Yarrowia lipolytica: one gene and its partners. The protein of the gene in region 1 interacts with the protein of each later gene in a biochemical or structural test. Links are inferred from orthologs where the notes say so. Each region holds a gene or a part of one and is shown on either strand. Other genes may lie near its edges. The genes, in order: YALI1_C11271g, YALI1_F06830g and YALI1_B16944g.

Region 1 (3,568 bases):
GAAAGAAAAAAAAAAACTAACTAATAGCCTGATCCTCCTCTTCTTTCTCTCTGTTTTTATACCATACACGAACCATTTCGTCTCGGAAGATCCCCTCTGCCTTCCGAAGAAAGTTCGGCGATCAAATTGATAATCATTGCATCAACTCTAATCAGATGCACTTGTAGAAATACGACACATAATGGAAGAAAAGTTTTCATATTTGCATGAAGCGGATTAAATGCAGTTAGCAGTACAAGTACAATACCCAGAAGAGAGATTTGTCCAGTTTAAATATCTCTCATATGCACCTTCGGTAGCCGTAGAGCTATGTACATGACACCAAACTCTTAGTAACATGTACCGTTGGACTCCTGAGACTCTGCTGATCCTTTTGGTACCATACATGACCTACTTTTATGAACGTGGAACCAGAGGGAACTACACAGCTCACATCTATCTTGCATCCAATAAACTTACCCTACCTCAGCTAAAGTTGCACTAACAACCGAGGGTGGAAACATGAGAAGCTGTGAACAATGCGACGGTAACCGGAATAGGCAGCAATTAGACCTAGAACTAGCGCGTCTCACATGGTTCTCATGTTCCTAGATTCGCGTCTGCTCCATTTGGTGAAGTTACATGGTGGGCAGATTCCCTAAACGAGATGCTAAGATGCTACGTTGGCTACAAAGACAGTGAACATCATATGATGGTATTAAATTGTTTCCCCGAATCAATCTCTTTCTTCTTATTATGCCCTTGTCTTTGTAGGTCTTGATCGCACCATTCTATGTTCATTCTAAGAGTCCCACTAAAGACGTACTTAACCACCCTCCCAGACTAACTAGAGCGTCGTGAGTGGTGCCAGTACTCTCTTGACCTGGTCTAAGACTCCCGTCAACTTCCTTTTTCATCTCTAGCCCCCTCTCAAACCCCCGAGACAACTACCAGTGGCTACAGGGGTAGTGCGTTGTCTCCGCTTTCGACTAGCTTGGTCAATTATAGGCCAAATCGAAGACTGTTTTTTTCAAGAACAATTCCCACACCTCAGAGAGTCCATTTCTATATCTTTCGTGTAACTACAATCTCTTTCCTCATCCAAATTACTCAGTTTCCGCAAATTTCTCGATTTTCTTGGACTCAAAAGTCAGGTTCGTCATACCAGCCGAGTCCCGCCATTATAATGAGCCAACCAAATCAACCCTGCATACCCCTTGCCTTGAACTGGCAGCTCCAAACCCCGTTTTGGACCGTCTATTCCCCTCCTGGCTGCATGTCGCTTAGATAAGCGGAAGTTTAATGTTTCTCATAATCTCATTCATGCGAGATAACGACAGCGGTTGGAGAGCGCAATTCAGACATAATTGGAGAGAAAAACGTACTTCCAAACTCCTAACTACTCCAAAAAAACCATGCCGCAACTTGTAAATCAATTGCACCAACAAATGTCGATTAAAATACAAAAAGATACCCTAACTCGACAAATACTGAAGCCACCGAAATTTCAAACCCATTATTGAGACCACCCGATCGCCATCAACTCTATGATACCAAATACGCTCCCGTCCATTAGTCATCAGCCATCATTATGTTTTTTCTTTCTTGATTCCGCTTACATAAGCATCGACATATATTAAGGTTTCGGCTGTGAGATGGAGGGTAATGCCTCATTAGCGCCGCTGCAGCGAGCCTCACAAGAGACAGAGAGACAGGGGCAGCGCTCGGATGTCGTCACGTGACTGTTTGGTATGTAAGCCGGCCAAGTCCGGGTTGATTTCTGGCATGTGTCGATCTCCAGCGGCGGCTGGGTCTTGCTGGCCTGTTCCCCCTCAAAATACCCTAACCCTTGGAATTAACCTCTGCAGCAGTGGGACACGCCAGCGCACGATACGTTAGCACGGTGACGATATTGTTTTAGTGACGGGCATTGCAACAGCTACAGACCGATTTTTTTGACATTTGAATTTGAGAGACGAACGTGACACCGCCTCTTGGACGATACGCGACAGTTTACACAAAGGACTTTTCTACACACCACCTATGGCATCTCTACCTAACAGAAGCACGGTTTCCAAGGGCAAGTACTCGTTGACGGACTTCTCCATCCAGCGAACGCTTGGAACGGGTTCGTTCGGCCGGGTGCATCTGGTTCGGTCGGTGCACAACAACCGGTACTACGCCATCAAGGTGCTGAAAAAGGCGCAGATTGTGAAGATGAAGCAGGTGGAGCACACCAACGACGAGCGGCGGATGCTCAAGCTGGTGGAGCACCCATTTCTGATCAGAATGTGGGGGACGTTCCAGGACTCCAAAAACCTGTTCATGGTGATGGACTACGTGGAGGGAGGCGAGCTGTTCTCGCTGCTGCGAAAGAGCCAGCGGTTCCCCAACCCCGTGGCCAAGTTTTATGCGGCAGAAGTCACCCTCGCCCTCGAGTACCTGCACTCCCACAACATCATCTACCGAGACCTCAAGCCCGAAAACATTTTGCTAGACAAGAACGGTCACATCAAAATCACGGACTTTGGGTTCGCCAAAGAGGTCCGCGACGTGACCTGGACGCTGTGTGGCACGCCAGATTACATTGCGCCCGAGGTGGTCACCACAAAGGCGTACAACAAGTCTGTGGACTGGTGGTCGCTCGGAATCCTCATTTATGAAATGCTCACCGGCTACACGCCCTTCTACGACCACACGCCCATGAAGACGTATGAGAACATTCTCATGGGTCATGTGCGGTACCCTTCGTACCTGCATCCGGATGTGACTGATTTGCTGACCAAACTCATCACCAAGGACCTCACCCGACGATATGGTAACCTGCAGGGCGGCCCACAGGACGTGAAGAACCACCCGTGGTTCTCCGAGGTCATTTGGGAGAAGTTGTTGTCCAAGGATATCGAGACTCCGTATGAGCCTCCCATTCAGAGTGGAGTGGGCGACACGTCGTTGTTTGACAGTTACCCGGAGGAGGAGCTGGACTATGGAATTGTATGTCCGGACCCGTATGGAAAGTTGTTTGGCGATTTCTAGACGACCAACAGCCGACGAACGGGAGATTGAATCTGAAGAATGCAGGTTTACTGTTGATCGACTGTTTGTCGCAGTGGGTCCCACCAGTTGTTGTTAACTCGATGACTGTCTTCCAGGAACTGTATGGAACACGAAGCCGTGACTGGTCAGTCTCAACAGCTGGAGCAAAGGTTATGTAAGGAATGTATGTATAGAAGTATTAGGGAGAGGGGGGGGAGTGTTTGGGTCTGATTGCGGTTGTTGGAAATAGATGTTGGATAGATTCAATTGGGGGAGTATTGTGAGTCAATTGCAACTGTTCGTCCCTTGAGACCGATTCCGAACACATTGATGATGGGCGGGATCTGTGACACGACTCCATGGTGTAGTCTGTGACAGTCTGTTGAAGCAACCGTTGTTGTAATGGATACGGGACCGCATGTGTAAGGATCCAGTGTCTGCAACCTTCTGGGGAGGAGATCTCCACTTGTCGGACGTGGTTCTGTCCTCATAGAAGGATCCAACCAGGGTTTTCATCGTCGGTTCACGCTCCATTCTCTGGTTCCTTACTCTG
Region 2 (3,444 bases), on another chromosome or scaffold:
GGATTGTGGTCATGTGATGGAGACACACAGTGTAGTATGAGCAGGTGTTGACTACAAGTATTGGGGCTATATCGGGTTTTCTCAGCTGTGGAGGTTTCGAGTTGCAATAAAAACTGGACCGATATAATCCTCTTGTTACGGGGATTTCATCCATACCTTTTACACTCGAATCTGACCATTATTCGTCTTTCTGGATTCCTCCTTATTAGCACTGCACCCTAGACCACACTGTCTTTCACTATGTCTGAGAACGTCCCCGCGATATGAAGTTTCTGAGAGAAGCACAAAAAGGAAAATATAAAAATATAAAATTATAAAATATAAAAAATATATAATATAAATTAAATTAAATTAAAATTAAATTAAATTAAATTAAATTAAATTAAATGATGAAAAATCGATTAAACCGAGAGGATATTAATACGACACAACTTCGACACTCGCTCTCCAAACTATGTCCATCGTCAATTATCCATCCTCTTATCCCCCACTTGAGTGGATTAACTAAGAGTGCATACAGTGATGAGATTAATTAAAATATATATACATATACTAAGAAAAAAACCAAAAATGTGATTTTGCACTTCCGCTACTCCCATCGAAATTCTGAAACTATCAATCAAATCCACCGGAGACAAGGATCATTCTAACACCATTCACTCCCCAATTGACCTAATCGAGGTTCTCCTAGATCCCCTATCGCTGAAATGCTGCAACCGTCTGTCCAGTCTACGGTAAAATGCTCCATCCGAAACAACAGATCGCTCCAAATGACCCAAAAGTGACCCAAAAGCCTCGCAGAAACCGCGAAATCCACGCTCCATCACGTGACATATATCACTGCCCTCACAAATACCCTAACCCTGTTCATTCCCGTTCTGGGCCGCTACCCCCAGACCGGCCCCCCTAACCCCCCTCTCTCAGGTCCAGGGTTAGGGTTGCTCCGCATGTATGTATGTACGTAATTCACCCCATGGTTTGAACAACACTATCACCACAACGCACAACAGTGAGTATGACCGGGGTGTTCTTGGAGGTTATGAGCGACATGATGGAGGGCACGTGAGGTTATGAGTGGGTCTGTGGGAGGGAATCACGTGCTCATTCGGCGCGAAACATTGCTCGTTTTCCCCGACCCCTGTCACGATTTGCGCTCATTTCGACATTTCGACGTGGTGGCGACATTGTGGGGGAGAAAAGGTGGTGTTTCGTGCCAATGAGGCAGCTGTTTGGGGTCATGTGACCAGACACAAGTCATGTGACTAGGCTATAGTCACATGACCCCAGCCAGGTCGAATGTGTGGTAATGACCAGACGGAGTGTGGTTGTGTGAAGAGTGGTGGTAGTCGTGGACAGCTTATGAGCAGGTTCGTAGGTTCTGCTGAAAGAGCAGTTTTCAGCTTGTTCATCTGTTATCTGGCTGGAAATGCTACTATTTCGAGGTTCACGGCTCTCTGTCTCTGTCATGTGACTTCACGGTCTGTGGCGGCCATCACTCATGACATTATTAATGGCTTGGTCTATTACACCGTCAGATAGCTCTCTTCCCACTCCCCAGAATTTCTGGTATTGTCTGAGCGTGACTCATTGACTCTGGCCCTAGGATTCTTTGCCTCAGTGACCTGAGCCAAGCTATTCTTATCTAGACGTTTATCTCATGGCAAAGAGGTTGATGGTCATTTCGCAGCCTCGTCGCTCTTTTCGCATTCTTTCTAACCCAGTGACCCTACCCCCCGCTTACGTGGACGAACTCAACCTTCTCAACCGCGAAGTTACCACCAAACAGCCGACCGACATTCTGCGGTTCTGCGCGGACTATTTCAACGAACGGCTGGCCAAACGAGAAGAGGCTGACGACGACGGACCCCGTTCCAAGCCCCTGGGCGGCGGATTCCGAGAGCCTGGCTTCGGCTCCTCTTCCAGAAGCACAGACGGCTCATTGTTCCGGTCCTCGTTTGCCGACACGTCATCAGAGGGCCCCGGCTCTGCCTCTAGTGAGCCTGCTGCGCCCTTCACTCGTCGAACCTCTGTTTCTGCCGAGTCCATTGCTCCCGGTGCCTTTGCCGGTGCTGCCTCCGGCGTCGCCTCCAACAACCTCTCTGCCGAGCAGCTTGAGTCTCTCTACAAGTCTGTGAGCCACAACTTTCTGTTTGGCAATCTTGACGAGGAAGCATGCCGGTCCGTTCTGCAGTCGTTGCAAGAAAAGAAGTGCGACAGCGGCGAAAAGATCATCACCCAGGGCGACGAAGGAGACTACTTTTACATTGTGGAGAGCGGCGCTGTCGAGTTCATCAAGGATGGCGTCAAGGTGAACTCTTCCGGACCCGGCTCTTCGTTTGGAGAGCTCGCCCTCATGTACAACGCTCCCCGAGCAGCCACCGTGGTGGCCACTCAGCCCTGTGTACTGTGGTCGCTGGACCGAGTCACTTTCCGAAAGATTCTGCTAGATGGCACCCATCAGCGACGGTCCATGTACGACGGCTTTCTCAAGGAGGTACCCATTCTCAGCGATCTGGGTTCGTACGAGCGAAACAAGCTTGCCGACGCTCTCACGTCCCAGGTGGTTGAGCCCGGAACTGCCGTCATCACCGAGGGAGAGGCTGGAGACGCCTTTTACCTCGTGGAGAGCGGAGAGGCTGAGGTGACTAAGAAGGGCGAGTCTGGCGTGGTGGCTACTCTTAAGCAGGGTGACTACTTTGGAGAGGTAGCTCTGTTGAACGATCTGCCTCGACAGGCCACCGTGACTGCCAAGACCAAGCTCAAGGTCGCTACTCTTGGTAAGGATGGATTTCAGAGACTGCTGGGTCCTGTCTTGGATCATTTGAAGGAAAATGACCCCACAAAGTAGTGGGACAGTGCGAGCCGCACCTGTTGTGGGCCATCTATTACGGTCTACCTGTTGTGACCACCTGTTATGGACCGCCTGTCGCGTGTAGGATGAGTCCTTCCGTTGGCCAGACTATTGATTCATAAAGGTCTGTATTTTGGATGGATATATAAGTAAGTTATACATTGATTGGAGTACGGTACTGTAAGGTACTTGTAGGGACGGCTCACGGTGTAAAACTGGCTATATCCAAGATAAACCGCACTCGTCACCGGTACATGCTGGTGGAAGACGGAACCGATTCCGTTGGGGTCCAAGTAGTCAGCGTCACATCGACAACAACACTTTCAAACACCGTCCCATTTCTCATCGGCCAGTTTCAAGTCCCTATCAATCATCCATGGCATCACTTTCTGCCGGCTTTATTGGTCATAATCTGGTGACTTGGCTACATGGTTAGTTGCGTGTCGTCTCCAGGTCAGTGTGAAACCGAGCATGACACTTCGACAGGGTATCCTATCGCATCCTGATAAGTCAAGACCGATTTGTAGGCTTCCAGGGGACCTTCGAGCTTTCCTCGTCAGAGTTGGTGTATCTTTTCGTGGGTAAGGAATGTC
Region 3 (4,013 bases), on another chromosome or scaffold:
TCGAATTTGCTGAAGAGGTATCTGAGATCTCTCTCTCTGATTCTGAAACGGAACGCTCTTCGGTATGTTCTATGCCAGAGACGTGTGCCACTTCTGTTTCCGATCTCGACGACGATTACATGAGCGCAGAGACCGTGGCTGAACTGGCTAACAACAAGAACAAGCTTGTGGTTGTTATCGATAGCGCCGTATACGATCTGAGCGACTACAAGGCACAAAACGGACTAGTGCAAATGGTGCTGAAGTCTCTGAATGGCACAGACGCTTCGTGGCAGTTCTGGAGAATGAACACCCGACAGCAATGGGAGGAGATTCAGAAGTTTCGAATCGGAGTGTCAACAGGAGTCCCCACCAAGTACAGCCCGCCTCGAGAGCGCTTCTTCTCTCTAAGAAGAGTCTACTGATCATTTTTTTGACAGGTGTGGAGAAGACGGACAGGACGAGGAGAAGCATTAGACGAACTGGAGTCGTCACACTAACATATTTATAGCATGCATTACCAATCACACATAACCAAGAGGCAGTAGGCTAAGTATTCCAGTAGGTGCCTGTCGGGAGTAGTCGGAGGTTTAGGGGGGATGTACTGTACAAGTATCAGTACTCTCAGTCGAAAGTATGGCTACAATAGTTGATAAACAGCTCACAGAATGTAATTATGCCAGCTAAATATACCAACTATCAAAAGACTGTGCTTTGTAATGCTCATAATTATACTTGGGGGTCTTAAGTACACACATTTATTGCCTGTTGTCTCTACACGGCAACCCAAGTGAAACATGTTTCAGTGACAACGGCGAGCAAAGAACGGCTTTACAGCAAAGCAATCATAAAGGGGAGTTTGCGACACATAACAGACTCACCAAAATGAGTGTGGAAGCCTCACAGACGTCCAATGCGACATTACTTACTGAGCCATATTAGCTAGTCCTAAATATGATTGGGGTGAGAGGAGAAATAATGTGTGTACAGGTATGCTCACTTGAGTAAGGGAACTACAACCACGGCCCATCCGTGCTCAGCCACTTGTTCACGATAACTGCGCAGGCAACATATGCTCATACCCCTCCCCCACTTCACATGAAAAACCGGTGTCAGTGTCCTGGCAAAAGTTAGCCTCGGCGACCAGGGTCGCCTGCCTACCGATGTTATGCAGCAGGTTATCATTGTTATCGGTGTTATCGGTGTTATCGGGACTATCTGCGGTCACGGGCATATGTGTGGCCGATATTCCGACAGTGCACCAGCTTGCGAGCCGCGGCTTTTTCGGCTAGCGCAATTTATGGGGCTTTTCCTTTTAGAGCCCTTCCATGTGGTTTGACACCTTTGCAACCGCCGTTGTCCTTGCACCAGTAGCCGTTTTTGTCCATTCGAAATAGACTATGAGAGAGCGAGGCATTGGGAGAGTCAAGGCAATGGAGGGGGGAGCCGTTTCGTCGAGGACTGAGCTATGTACTGTAGCACCTCAACAGAAGTACGAGAACATAACATACTTAGAATGTTGGTACAATATACAGAACACTGCTACAGGAAACACCCATTATATATAACTTTTTTTCTTTTGGTAGATACACAGATATCACACAGAGACAGACACTCACAACGTTTGCACCCAATAACTTGCTCCGCCAACATGACAACACATGTCAAATGCATAGTATGATTGGTAACATGAGTGTAGAAACGAATACAACTACCGGTAGAGGTCTGTTGATGACAAAAAAATATATATTTACAGGCAAACCACATCGCAAATACCTTTTAGTCTGGTTACTATCACGTCCAAAACAGCCTCCAAGACTCGCTACACCCCCACCCCGCACGTGACCCTAACCCAAGATAAGCGCGCAACCAAACCTACACACCAGACTAAATATCGGACTCTCAAGACTCGTCTACACAGTCACTCTACCATGGGAAACGTTCCGGGAAAAGAACAGCAGGTGCGCAACGCACGGTCCGTTTCTGAGGACTACCACCGCGAAGGCCAGGTCAGATCCAAGAGGCCCTCTGCGCCTCGAGAAAAAAAGCGGGAGCCAAGAGTCTTTGTAGACCCCAATGAACAAGTGGATGGTGGCTATCTGGTGCCTCAGGGAGTCTACACCGGACCACAGGATTTCGACATTCTTGTTGTCAAGAGCCTGATGACTAGTCGCAAGCTTGCACCGTTTTTCAAGGGTCTACAGGACTATGAGGAGGAATGGACTGATCATCAACTTATGGCTGCCATTAGGGGCTTTCCTATCCCCAGTGCAGCATCAGAATCGCCTACAACCGAATCTACAGACACAAAAGACGCTTCAGCTTCCACCTCAACCCCTCACGCAATTTCCACACCTTCACATCTGTCGCCACCTACAGCTCCTCCTCAGGTGGCCATCTCGCCTCCCCGACACACTTTGTCATCGAACAACCCGTTCAGAGACCCGTTGGAGCATATGTCGCATCTGAGAATCGATCTGGACAACACCACGTTTTCCCAGAGCGCCCCAACACCGTCGTGGATGCGTTCCGGAGAACCCGATCAGGAGGACGGGGACGAACTCATAAACCCAGGCATTCTACAGTCCCCACCAAGCAGGGAGGCTCCCAAGCCACCACCCTCACGACAACGGGCCAAAACGCTCACCAACAAAGAGCCCCCGCTTATGGTCAAAATCTACAGAGACCCCATCGAGTGTCCCATTTGTTTTCTGTACTACCCAAACTCGCTCAACATGACCCGATGCTGTGCCCAGCCCATTTGCTCCGAGTGTTTTGTGCAAATGAAGCGAGCTGAACCTCATCCTCGACATGACGAGCCTGAACCTGACACGTTGCTGGGACAGCTGGATCTCATCTCCGAGCCCACAGCCTGTCCCTACTGTGCTATGTCCGACTTTGGAGTAGTGTATTCGCCTCGACACGGCCCCGGAGCCAAGGCTGCAGGAGCCAACAGTGCTGATGCCGCTGCAGCCAAAGGGAACGGTGACGAGTCTGCTATTGATGATTCGGGAGACTCATCAGACGGCATTGACACCACCAACATGGACGATGTGGCTGACAAGCTAATGCACATGTCCGGTGCAAAGCGTCGATCGTCCATCAGTGTCACCAACCCCAACGTCGTGACCGTTGATCGTGTGCGACCCGACTGGTCAAAGACGCTGGCTGCTGCTCGAGCTAGAGCTGCACGAAAGGCTGCTACTGCCAACGCTCTTCATGCCACGGCTTTTGTGGAAGGAGGCAATGGGGAGGTGGCTGGATCATCTAGATCATCGCGACGAACCCGCCAAAACCACGAACAACGGCAGGCTGCCCGTGCTCAGGAGTTGGAGCAGATCATGCTCTCAGAGGCTATGCGTCTAAGTATGCTGGAGAGCCAAGAGGCGGAAGAGAAGCGCTCCAGGGAGCAGGAGAGCAAGTAGGAAGCAAGAGTCAGGTAAAAGCGTTTGAAAAAGTCTGCCACCAAGAGCAACTTTTCCACAACCAACGAATAGATATTTATATGCATAGCGTCGAGAGTTGTAGAGAGGGTTGTAGACAGACACTAGCAGTGGAAATAAGCCAATTGCGTGTATGAGATGGTATCTGAAGGCACGATACATTATCCAATTATACAGTATTAACACATTACAATACAGTATGAGTAGCTACAATGTACGACGATACAGCTACTGTAGATGAGTTTAATGTTTATTGTAGCTACTTAGACCTTTCTATTAGCAGACAGTATCCAGTTGAGCTATGTAACCAAAAGGATTCTGCCTCGTCATATATCCTCAATACCGGATAAGTAGCAACCTGGCAATCAGGGGCCTACTACGTCGCCAAGGATCTACACTCTAGCCGCCGTAATTAATGCACTGCAGGGTCTGCAGAATGTCTTGTCTCAATTTGTGGTGCCTGCTTGAAGTGGGGTCGTATGTATATGGTACCTTGAGGGGAGATAACGTGAGACAGAAGAGTGGAAGGCGGTCTATAAGACAATTCTATCGGCTTTAAAACAATCATTGAGCAATGACAATATTTGATTT

Evidence for each region.
Region 2: the proteins of YALI1_C11271g (region 1) and YALI1_F06830g form a complex in vitro, tested with the Saccharomyces cerevisiae proteins (3 studies listed by BioGRID, with this or other methods). The link is inferred for Yarrowia lipolytica from reciprocal best matches to the Saccharomyces cerevisiae genes TPK2 and BCY1.
Region 3: the proteins of YALI1_C11271g (region 1) and YALI1_B16944g form a complex in vitro, tested with the Saccharomyces cerevisiae proteins (2 studies listed by BioGRID, with this or other methods). The link is inferred for Yarrowia lipolytica from reciprocal best matches to the Saccharomyces cerevisiae genes TPK2 and SIP5.

The regions. Positions count from the first base shown.
Region 1 is NC_090772.1:1,125,143-1,128,710, forward strand, and holds YALI1_C11271g (uncharacterized protein), read left to right. Parts: upstream 1-2,022; coding exon 2,023-3,015; downstream 3,016-3,568.
Region 2 is NC_090775.1:681,251-684,694, reverse strand, and holds YALI1_F06830g (uncharacterized protein), read left to right. Parts: upstream 1-1,657; coding exon 1,658-2,848; downstream 2,849-3,444. UniProt on the Saccharomyces cerevisiae protein: Regulatory subunit of the cyclic AMP-dependent protein kinase (PKA), an effector of the Ras/cAMP pathway. Inhibits PKA activity in the absence of cAMP. cAMP activates PKA and promotes growth and proliferation in response to good nutrient conditions.
Region 3 is NC_090771.1:1,692,504-1,696,516, forward strand, and holds YALI1_B16944g (uncharacterized protein), read left to right. Parts: upstream 1-1,910; coding exon 1,911-3,404; downstream 3,405-4,013. Other genes in the region: YALI1_B16922g (uncharacterized protein), read left to right, coding at 1-404. UniProt on the Saccharomyces cerevisiae protein: May negatively regulate the SNF1 kinase by promoting the interaction of the REG1/GLC7 phosphatase complex with the kinase. Deletion of SIP5 promotes resistance to artemisinin, which is probably an indirect effect of an action on the electron transport chain.